Zea mays: one gene and its partners. The main gene of each other region encodes a partner of the protein of the gene in region 2 in a complex. Links are inferred from orthologs where the notes say so. Each region holds a gene or a part of one and is shown on either strand. Other genes may lie near its edges. The genes, in order: condensin complex subunit 2, uncharacterized protein LOC100216627 and structural maintenance of chromosomes protein 4.

Region 1 (3,751 bases), on a different chromosome or scaffold from region 2:
GCACCCGATAGCGGTATAGATGTACAGAAAGCCTTTAGCATGAAAGCTCGACCCGAAGCATGTTTTTTGGCCCGATGCGAGCCCGGTTTGGCCTACTTTTATACGGGCCTGGGCCAGCCCGACATGAATAAGCGGGCCGGGCCCAGACAGGAAACTAAGCCCCACGGGCTAGCCCGACACGACTCGTTTACCTCTAAGTCCGTCAAGCCCTTTTTTTGCACTAAACCGTGCTTAGCAGCCCACTTAGCTTGTTTTCAGCCCGCTTTTTTCGTGCTTACCGACTCGGTCCGATCCGTTTAGGCCCGCAGTGGGCCAGACTCGGATAAGAAAACGAGCCAACATGTTTGGATGTTTTGGCCCGGTTTTCTAACCGTTTGGCTATATCTAGATAGTGGGGGCCGGGGGCGAGGGGAAGGGTGAGTTTGAAATGGGCAGGGTCTCAAGGAAGAGGAGCCACGGTTACACGTAGGCGTCAGCGCGAGTGGAAGGAGCAGTTGACGAAAGCTGTGCACAATTGAGTTGGAGGGACGTTTGACGCACAAAGAAATTCACAAAAGGAGTACAAAGGTAGTGTTTGGTTGAGGAGACAAGTAGAACAGAGCTGTTCGATCCCTGATTCTAGAACGGAGGCGCTCTGTTCTATGTTTGGTAAGCTGGAAAGGAACGACTCTATTTTTTGTTTGGTTGTAGAGTGAACTGGAACAGAGCGGCTCTATTTTTTGTTTGGTTGCAGAGGGAGGCGCGTGAGCTGCTGCGCACGGATGGGAGGGCGAGCTGTGTGAGCGAGCTGGAAACGGAGCAGCTCCGTCCCATTGATTTTTTGGAGTAGGATGGTTCTGAATCTAAGGAGAATATTCTTTAATTGGAGCTACTCCGTTCTAGTTACTTTGTAATCAAATAACAACAAAACTAGAACATAACCGTTCCGTTCTACTTGCTTTTCAACCAAAGCAACAGTACCCACCCCATCCCTGGCCCCGCTCCCGCACCGCAGCGCATCCGCCCCCAAAATTTGAAATCACGACTGGGAGGGATCCCGAACGACGGTCCAAAATTTTCCCTACCCAACCCCCTCTATCCATCCTGTCCCGTTCCGCTCCGCCGCCGCCGTCGACCGCACGAGATGCCGCCGGCCGAGGACGCCCCACCGCAGACCCCCCCTCCCGCGCGCTGGACGGCGGCCGGGTCGCGGGTGCTGCTGCAGTCTCCGCCTCCAGCGTTCCCGCTCGGATCCAATGACGACCAGCAAGAACGCGCCCGCGCCCGCGCGGCGGCGCGTGCCGCCTCCGTCCGCCGCCGATCCCTCGCCGCCTCCATTGCGCCCTCCAAGGACCCGCGCCACGACCTCCTCAACCGCGAGCAGGTCATGGACCTCTTCCATAACTGTATCAAGCTCGCATCGGAGAACGTAGGTGCCTAGCCCGCCTCCTAAACCTAGCCCGCTCCATTCCTCTCGCTAAGCTTCTTCGTTGCGTTCTTTCTGGGGAAATTTCGGCAGAAAATTAACCAGAAGAACACGTGGGAGCTAGGCCTAATCGATCATCTCAGCGAGATCATCCAAGCGGGGGTGGACGAGGACGAGGAGACCAACTTTCAGAAGGTACCGACCTGCAAAGATCTCCCATTTCCTCCTCTCTTTGTAGCCTTCTTAGTACAAATTTGTCTAGAGGGAGATTCGTCTACTGTATTTGAATTTGTTGGCAATAATGTGGTACTTTTATGGAACAGGCAAGCTGCACACTGGAGGCGGGGGTCAAGATATATTCACTTCGTGTGGATTCAGTGCACTCCGAGGCTTACAAGGTGCTTGGTGGGATAAACCGTGCCGGAAGGGGTGAAGAGGCTGGTGAGGGTGCACTGGAATTTTAATGGATTCTGATGTGTACCACTTTGATTGCAGTTTTACTTCTTTATTAGGGAGCTGTATCCAGTGCAAATTACATGCTCTTATGCCGAGTATGGCTGAATTGCTCGAGTTACAAATTCAAAAAGAATGACCTATACATGATAGGTTCATGATTTTGCTGGAAATCTATGCTGCTTCATTATGGTCTTCTGGTTTGGTGCTTGACGAAAAAGATTTGGAGAAAGGAAAAAAACTGCACTTTTTTTTTTGCTTTTTGTCTTCATCCAGTGCAAATTGGTCTATGCTGGGTATCACTAAACTTGAGTTAAAAACTCTAAAGTAAGGGGGTGTTTGTTTGGGATTATAATCTCAAACACCCCTAAGTTGGCATGCAGTGTGGTTTTATGAGTTAATGGAAAGGTCACTGTTCTAAGGGCCTGTTTGGAAGCACCCAGTTTTTAGAAACTGGTTTATGAAACCGGAGTACTTCCAAACAATACTAGTTCATGTCCTAGTTTCTAGTTTATAGAAACTGGATTCCTAGTTTCTTAAAAACCAAGAAGCCTGCATCCCCTAGCTAAAACCAAATTTTGTCTGTTTAATAACATTATTCCCTTGTTTATTTCATGGAATTTACATCTATTGCCACCACTTTTTAAAATAGAGGAAGGTTAGGCTAGTCAATGCATATGCAAAAAACTAGAAACTGGTTTCTTAGAAACCGGGTTCCAAACACCCTCACCCAATTTTTATTTAAAAACGAGTTTATAGCAAATGGTTTCTTAAAAACCGACATGCTTCCAAACAGGCACTAACTTGATTGGAAGATTAAATATGTTTTAAAACCTTTTCATTGTTACCCATGTTAGAACTGTCCTGTTTTTTGGTATTCCTTGGGTGAAATTGATCAACTTACATTGATATGTTACACAGCTTTACACAACCTGTGCACTCACAGATTATGAACCTTCTGCAAAACACTGTTTATGAAATTGGGAACATTTGCTGTTTTCTTACTGTTTTTGTGCTTAAAATTTGAGAAGCACTGTTTTGCACTTTGGGATGGCACTGTGGCAGTTTTGGGTCAGTGCTCTGCATGATTTTGGGTCCAGTGGATTCGGGTTTAGGGACCCAAATTTTATTGGGTTTGGTTTCCACCCGCGGATGTATAATGGAGGTCCAAAATAGTACATTTTAAGTAAAAACTCATTTGTTTTGTTAATAATTTGTTTATGTAAGCTATTAAGTTTATTCTAAGTTGAGTCATGAAATTATTTGTTCTTTATTGCCTTTTGCTTATATATGTGAATATGTAATATGTATCATGCATGAGTTACTAGAAATTCCTTAATGTCTTTTGTATATTGCTATATAGTGGTGGTTTTTGGTTTTTTTGGATCCACTGGGTTTGGTTTTGGGTTTGGATTATCACCTGAAACGGTGTTTGGGGTGGTTTTGGGTTCTGGGTTCAAGTCCACAGTCTCCACCTGATCCAAATCCACCTTGCCATCCCTATTTGCACTCCTGTTTTACAGTATTATCCTTAGATAATGTAATGCTGTTTCATGATGATGCTCTGAGTTGGTTGTTGCCATTAAAGATTTGGAGGAAGGCAGCAATGTTGAACCTGCACAGGATGAAGCAATCAATAAAAAGGATGCTGATAGGAGGGTACAACATTTTGAATGGAGTACTTAGTTCTTCACTTCAATTCTGCTTCATTATGTTAATGCCTTTCCATTTGTGCAGATTTCACCTGCTTCAACGTTGGAGTCGTCATTTGAGGCTCTCAATGTAAAGAAATTTGATGGTAAGTTTCAAGTTTATTCTCACTATCTCTTGTTGAAAATTATTCTACCATGGAGCTGAAATGCGTGCTTACTACTAGTTGCTTTCACGGTGGAT
Region 2 (3,751 bases):
AAAGAGACTCAACCATATTAATTTTAATTTTCTTGCCCCTCGTTTATTTTATTTACACTAAAATAAAATAAAATGGAGAGATTAAAAATCAATACTTAGAAACCAAACAACACATAAACGATAAGACGAATCTACTAAACCTAATTTGTTTATGGTCCACTCATATGATGTTACAATAAACGTTTGTTAACTATAGATTAATTACACTTTGTAAATTTATCTAATCGTTTAGTCTTCAGCTGTATGATTACTTTTATAATTAAACTATATTTAATACTCGTAATAATCATTCAAATATCTGACACGATATAAACTGAACTTTAGTCCACGTAACAATTTGTCTAATCAACGATCACCTCTCAATACGAGCTAGCCGCTGTAGCACCTATTGAAGGTCATGTTTGTTTCAACTTCTGATTGGATTCAGAGCGATAGAGACGGGTTCTAAAAGTCAAACATGTTGCTTTTTAGCCGACTTTTATGAAAACCATTTATGTAAAAATCGCATAAATCCATGTAAAGCAAAAAACCGATGAGTCACCGTGATGGGAAGAACTGACCGCTTTCTAAACCCTAAATTATGTAGATCCTTTGATCCTCTACACACCGCGATACGTGAAAATAGATTATATACAATTCTTGATTTTTAGAAAATTTTCTTTAGAAAAAGGTGTATGCCCGAAATGGTTCGATTCAAAGGCTGGTGCCCACCTCCCCACATGAGGCGTGGGCCCTTCTCGCCATACAGAGAGACTCCCTCACGAAAACTCACCGTCTCCCGCTCTCGATTTCGAAACACTCGCCACTCTTCGCCTCCCGTTCCCCAGCCCAGACCCGAAGCCCTGCGCCTCCCCCTCCGCCGCTCGCCGGGCGAGATGTCCCCGCCGTTCGTGTTCCCCTCGACCCTGCGGGATCTGGAGCTGGACACCGACGGAGACAGAGACGAGGAGCCCTCGCTCCGGCCGCAGAACCCCGTCGCCGTCGCCACGCTCCGCGCTGCCGACCTCGAGGAGTTCGTCAAGGGTACGTGCCACTTCTGCCCCAGATCCCCCAGCTTCCGCGCGGTTTGTTGTTTGGTCGGGGTTGTACCGGTACCCAAGAATTACTAGTTTGGATTCGTATTTTTGATGGTAACACGAACTAGTGGCTTTAAATTGCACCGGAATAGGGTTTTGCTGGTCAGTAATACTAGTCGGAGCTTCGGATTTCGATGTAGCTGGCAACCTGCTAACCCTATCTTCTTTTTTTCTCTAGCAAATCGGTGCATAGCGTAAATAATCGAGTTTGCAGAGAAATGCTCGCTGTCACTTCCACATAAGCCTTTTTCAACTTGCTTGCCACCAATCTTAAAACCTTCTTGTATCTCCGCGGCTGTGTTAACAAACTTGATCTGATATCAGAAAAGGTGGGTGCGGGCAGCTAGCAAAAGCTATTATAAGCTCTGCCTCGATGGCCCTACGTAACGTTGCTATATTATTTATTCATGAATCTTTGTTCTTCATCGCCGTCTCTGTAATATTAGCTGTTGTTTGATGGGAATACACCTTTCCCCTTAATTTCTGCCTTACTTTTGACAATTCTGGCTGTTCTAACTTGTGGCAACGTACAATTAGATTTTTTTTCTTAAATGAAAGAATCTTATTAAGTGAACTCACTATTTCTTTAATTCTTATTCAAACTGAAGGTGCATCATTTGATCTTTCTGATAAGGAGCTCTTCTGCATTGAGGAACAGGAGGTGTTTGATGCCATCTACTCTATCGTGCGTGATTTCAATTGCCTACCCCCAGCCCTTAAGTTTAACATTGTTGAGACCTTGCGCTCCAACCTCAGTGTCCTTCTACCCAGCATAGACTCACTTTCCCGGGCATCCATGTCATCCCCTTCTGATGCTACCGAAATCACTGACCGCATTGCCTCACACCGCAATGCCCTCAAGATCTACTCCTTCTTTCTCATTTCCATTGTTCTCACCGCGGAAGCTGGCGCTGAAAGCTGCACAGCGGCTAAGGTGATTTTTGTGCAGAAGATACAATTATTCAGATTGTTTATGCTCTTGTTCTTTTAGTTGACTTTATTTTTTTCATGACAATTAGGCAACAGCACATGGTCGAAAGAAGAACCATATATATTCTTGGAACTGGGAAGCACAAAGAGGCAGGATCATGAGTCTAGTCGCTAATTCTCTTGAAGCTAACCTTTCGCTACTTTTTGGTCCTGGAGGAACCGATGAACGATATCTCTCTTTTGTTTCGAAGTAAGTTTTAGAAAGTGGAAACTGACTACAGTATTCCAGTAAGTCATCTTTTGCAATGACATCACTTTCATAACATGTAGGTGTACTTTTGTTCTCTGTGAAAATCAAAATGTGTTAAAAGATGAGGATACAAGAAATGGCCTGTGCCGGATAATTGGAGCAATTGCCACGAAGCATCAGAGGATTTCTCAAATCAGTGCATCTGTTTCACATCTAATACACAAATTTGATTTCACTGTTCCTCATCTTGCGGAAGCAGTTGCTTCTGCGGAGAAAAAGTTTGGTGATGGAAGCCTTGCAATTTCCCTGATTAGGGAAATAGGTCGGGCTGATCCAAAAGAATACACGAGAGATAGTGTTGGTGCGGATAATGTTGGGAGATTCCTTGTAGAACTTGCAGACCGCTTGCCAAAACTTATGTCAACCAACATTGGTGTTCTGATACCTCACTTTGGTGGTGAGTCATATAAGATCAGAAATGCTCTTGTTGGAGTTTTGGGAAAGCTGGCTGCAAAGGCTTTCAAGGATGTTGAGGGTGATAGCAATGCTCGGCTTCGAAGTAAGCAGGCTATGCTGGAGATTTTGATTGAGCGCTGTAGGGATGTGTCAGCATACACAAGGAGTCGTGTGCTTCAGGTGTGGTCTGAGCTTTGTGAAGAAAATTCTATTTCAATTGGCCTGTGGAATGAAGTGGCTTCCGTTGCTTCAGGGCGACTGGAGGACAAAAGTGCTATTGTGAGAAAATCAGCATTACAGCTTCTTATAACAATGCTGCAACACAACCCTTTTGGGCCTCAGTTAAGGACTGCAACCTTTGAGGCAACTCTAGAAAAGTACAAGGAAAAATTACAAGGAATGGAGCCTTCAAATTCAGACAAAGATGAGGCCGCAAATGATAGTTCGCCTGGTGAAGTGATCATGGGGCAAGATGAAAGTGTCAGTGATAGCTGTTTAGCATCAAGTCAGGATCAAAATGACCGTGATGCTACGATTGTGGATATAACAAACTTGGAACAAATAAGAGCTTTAGTTGCTTCACTTGAAGCTGGTCTGCGGTTTTCAAAGTGTATAACTTCGTTAATGCCAATTCTTGTTCAGTTGTTGGCGTCATCCTCAGCTACTGATGTTGAGAACACCATCCTTTTACTGATGAGATGCAGACAGTTTCAGATCGAAGGATCAGAAGCAGCACTCAGGAAAATGTTACCTCTGGTAATATCCCAAAAACTCTGTCTGGTATTTGTGCTTGTTTTGTATTTGTTAATTGTTCCTTGGCCCTTTGGATTTTTCAGGTGTTTTCTCAGGATAAGTCAATATATGAGGCAGTGGAGAGTGCATTCATTACTTTATACACAAGGAAAAGTCCAATAGAAACAGCAAAAAGTTTGTTAGACCTTGCCATTGATTGCAGCATTGGTGACCTTGCTGCTCTCGAGAGCTTAATTAGTTCCTTAGTTTCCAAAGCAGAAATTTCATCCAGCATGGTGCACACTTC
Region 3 (3,751 bases), on a different chromosome or scaffold from region 2:
GGCAATCCCAGTCCATGCAAACACCGCTTCTTTCTCCTGCATGCGCGGTCTGCGGTGTGGCTGGCTAGTGGCTGCGGCTTCCATCCGTCGTCTCCGTCCATCCGTCCCTGGCCGACTGCCTGCCTGCTGGCTAGGGCCAATGCCACAGGGAGCAGGATCACCAGCGGCAGCCGACAGCGAGACGAGGCGAGTGCTATGCTGTCACAGCGATTAAAAGCAAAAACGTAAAGCGGCAGCAGGATGAGGAAAGCAGGGGAGAACCTGGAGACCGAGCGGTACCGCCCACTCCCAATCGCGCGGGGCCGTTTCCTCCCAGACCGCTGCGGCGTCGAAGCCGCAGCAGCAGCCTCCTCCTCCTCGGCCTCCGCGGCAGCCACCGTCGCCTCCATCTCGGTCGCGTGCTCGACCGCCTTCACCTGGAGAAACACAAGTTACACATATCAGCAGCACAAATACAGGAAGACGATGGAACAACGACTCCATGGGGGACCGCAATCAGCGGCGAGACGCGAGCGTGGCGGCGAGGTCGTGAGGAAAAGGCAGGGCACGATGGGAGGGAGGAAGCGAGGTCGAGAGGATGAGAGGGAAGTGGACAACAGGCAAGAGAGGAGACGCTCAGAGCTTGATTGAAGAAAAAATCGGGTCCGGCCTACGTGCCACACGCGGACAGGTGTTCGAGCAAGGGCCACGAGCTAAATCGCGAAAAGACAGAGGGCCTTTATGCAAAAACGCGACCACGAAACGCGGGGAGCGCTTCAAACAGCTTCAGGCTTTAATAACTCTGATTTTTTTTTGTCCGCAACAGTTTGCGTACGGGCCTGAAACCAGAGCATACCTAGAAACAGCCCAACATTTGGTGCGCATGCATGGGCTAACGCAAGACCGTACCCTATCAGCCAAAGTTAGCGAAAAAGCCCAGTCCAACTAAATGATACTCCATTTCATATTTTTCTGGCCTGAAACACCTTCAAATTCCGCAGCGCGAGGACGAAACCCTCGCACCGTTTCAGTTTTCCCTCCCAAACTTGCCCCAAATATCTAAATCCATCCTCCTTCGCAGGCGCTCCAACTTTCCCCTTCCCGGCAACCACCCTGTGCCTTCCTCGCTGCCTCGATTCCGCTTCTGTGCTCGGCTAGGGAGAGCGGCAGAGTATCAGGCGGGTGACCTCTATCTCGCCGGGGCGGGGCGGGGCGGTGACGCTCGCAATCCCTCGCTTGCTGCTGCATTTTCGAATACTGAGATGGCCATGGAGATGTCCCCGCGGCAGTCGCCTCCGCGGACGCCGCGTAGGGCGGCGAAGCCGCGACTGTTCATCAAGGAGATGGTCCTCCGCAACTTCAAGTCCTACGCAGGGGAGCAGCGCATCGGTCCTTTCCACAAGGTCTCCCCCCCCTCTCACTCACTCACTCACTCACTCACACACGCCCACTCGTGGGTGCTAACAATTTGTTTAGATTTAGAAATCCTACGAACGAAGTTCGCATTATTGTAATTCATTTACATCAGCATGTGCCTATCGAAACTTAATCTACTTGTGCACTATGTCATAGCTTCAATTTTGCTATTCTGCCCCACTCTCAATTTATGTCATTGTTCCCGATAAAGAAACGGCAAGATGGATGTTTATTTGTGGTTGCTAGTGGCGGTCAAGACTTGATCCGAGAAATCGCAGTGGAATTTCTGTAGCTATTATTGGGGCTTACATGTGAGTGTAGGTGTGGCTTTAATTCCAAACCCTAGGGTACAGTTCACACTGTAGAGTTGTCATTCTAACAACTTTGTTTTACTGGTACAATAGTTAACAGATATCACTTTCGACTGTGATACATAAACATACAACACAAATAGAATTTGTACTTGCAGAAGAGAGGTCTTCCATTCAGTTCTATATATTTTGTTATGATTATGCTTGCATATCTAAGGAAGTATCGATGTTACGGCCAAACTCATGGTTTAGCTTTCACTTGAGCAACTTCACCACATTTAGGAAAACAATCCCCTCTCCATAAAAGCTGTCATATAGGGGAATGATGTGAAAAAAATGCTCCAGAAGATCCCCTTTCTCAACCCCCCTTCCCTATGTTTTTTCTCAATCCCTCAAATAGAGGGGAGCAAGCAGCTTTTTTCCTCAACCCCCTTTCCTTCTTCAAATCTGGTGTGGAGTTGCTCTCCCATTTTATTAAAGCTATGCTCCTGCCTCCTAGAGTAACTGATCCTTCATCTCTGCAGAAAGTATTACAATTTATATAATAAAAGTATAACTGGATCTAAGCATAGATTGGAGCATGTTTGGGAGAGCTTCTTAGGGCTTTGGCTCCTTGCTATAGTATCTAAAAGAGCCAGAGCCAGAGTTGGTGAAGACTTTTTTCTGGCTTCACTGACTTCTAGTTCATTTTGTAAAGAGAGAGAAAATGGCCCCCTGATACAGTGCACATTTTCCCTAGTAGCCGGAGACATTTCGTGAGAAGCCCTCCTAAACGAGTCATTAGAAAAACATACCAGGATTTCTGAGGACACACTCTTCTCAATCTAATTTGAGAAAAACATAGTTATAATCAAACACAAACAAATAATAGTCCTTCAGGATACAGATATTACACACTAAGGTCGTGTAATAGTGCTCATGTTTAACAGATGGAAATAATTCCATTTTACCCCAAATGTATTATGTACCGATTGAACAACGATTAAAGACAAAACAATAGAAACATAATTTGTTATCTTGACTGCAGAGCTTCTCGGCTGTTGTTGGTCCAAATGGCAGTGGAAAGAGTAATGTCATTGACGCAATGCTTTTTGTGTTTGGGAAGCGTGCAAAGCAGGTTGGTATTGTTGCTTAATGTTGATTTTTTAGTGATTATCACTATATTCATTTAGTTCATTTCACCGGGAGATTTTATGTTATTTGTTCTATGTCAACAAATCATTCGATTTGTTTATAGCCTATCCAATGGTAGATTCTAGCATGTCACTCTAAGTTCCACAATAATTTAAAAGCCTGAGAGTAATATCCTGCCATTTAAGTTTGTAAACATATAAATTATCATCCTAAGTATTATGTGAAAGGATTATTCTAGAACCTAGCACATTGATGCTTCAATTGTATTAATCCTCTTGGTTTAGATAATAATCGTATTAATCCTATGGTTGCCAAGTAGTCTGTGTTTTGAAGTTGATACTTTAGAGTTCCTGTCTGCTAAATGTACTGTGCATACTAGTTTCTCGTTACTGTTACCTGTTTTCCCTTTGAACTTTACATGGACAATGCAATTTTCACAAATTCATTCGTACAAGTGATCAGATTCATTTTTTCCTTACCAATATCTCTGCTTTTAAAGAAAGTAAAAATAACGTTTGAGATACAAACCCCACTGGATTACCATTTCACAAGGAACATATACGGAAATAAAATTGATCCAATACATTGTTAGTCGCTATCATTACTTAGGATAATTTTGTATTTCTCTTGTTCTTCCATCAACTGCAGATGCGCCTAAACAAGGTCTCCGAGCTCATACACAATTCTTCCAATCATCAGAACCTAGACAGTGCTGGTGTTTCTGTTCATTTTCAAGAAATTATTGACATGGTATTGTTTGAAGCTTGGGTTGAGTTTTCGACATTTCTTATTTGTACTGCCAATAATCATTTTACTTTTTTCTGTGCCTGTAAGCAGGATGATGGGAACTACAGTGCTGTTGAGGGTAGTGACTTTGTCATCTCAAGGGTTGCTTTCCGTGACAACACTTC

The links.
Region 1: uncharacterized protein LOC100216627 (region 2) and condensin complex subunit 2 share a complex: the UniProt entries of both Arabidopsis thaliana proteins name them as parts of the condensin complex. The link is inferred for Zea mays from reciprocal best matches to the Arabidopsis thaliana genes AT3G57060 and EMB2795.
Region 3: uncharacterized protein LOC100216627 (region 2) and structural maintenance of chromosomes protein 4 share a complex: the UniProt entries of both Arabidopsis thaliana proteins name them as parts of the condensin complex. The link is inferred for Zea mays from reciprocal best matches to the Arabidopsis thaliana genes AT3G57060 and SMC3.

Annotation. Positions count from the first base shown.
Region 1 is NC_050098.1:234,339,422-234,343,172, forward strand, and holds the start of condensin complex subunit 2, read left to right. Parts: upstream 1-1,038; 5' UTR 1,039-1,123; coding exon 1,124-1,408; intron 1,409-1,498; coding exon 1,499-1,600; intron 1,601-1,728; coding exon 1,729-1,846; intron 1,847-3,446; coding exon 3,447-3,517; intron 3,518-3,595; coding exon 3,596-3,656; intron 3,657-3,734; coding exon 3,735-3,751. UniProt on the Arabidopsis thaliana protein: Regulatory subunit of the condensin complex, a complex required for conversion of interphase chromatin into mitotic-like condense chromosomes.
Region 2 is NC_050102.1:180,182,760-180,186,510, reverse strand, and holds the start of uncharacterized protein LOC100216627, read left to right. Parts: upstream 1-835; 5' UTR 836-875; coding exon 876-1,023; intron 1,024-1,684; coding exon 1,685-2,010; intron 2,011-2,095; coding exon 2,096-2,256; intron 2,257-2,336; coding exon 2,337-3,468; intron 3,469-3,548; coding exon 3,549-3,740; intron 3,741-3,751. UniProt on the Arabidopsis thaliana protein: Essential protein. Regulatory subunit of the condensin complex, a complex required for conversion of interphase chromatin into mitotic-like condense chromosomes.
Region 3 is NC_050101.1:167,824,734-167,828,484, forward strand, and holds the start of structural maintenance of chromosomes protein 4, read left to right. Parts: upstream 1-970; 5' UTR 971-1,241; coding exon 1,242-1,382; intron 1,383-2,733; coding exon 2,734-2,823; intron 2,824-3,488; coding exon 3,489-3,590; intron 3,591-3,677; coding exon 3,678-3,751. Other genes in the region: uncharacterized protein LOC101027244 precursor, read right to left, coding at 1-198, 280-483. UniProt on the Arabidopsis thaliana protein: Central component of the condensin complex, a complex required for conversion of interphase chromatin into mitotic-like condense chromosomes.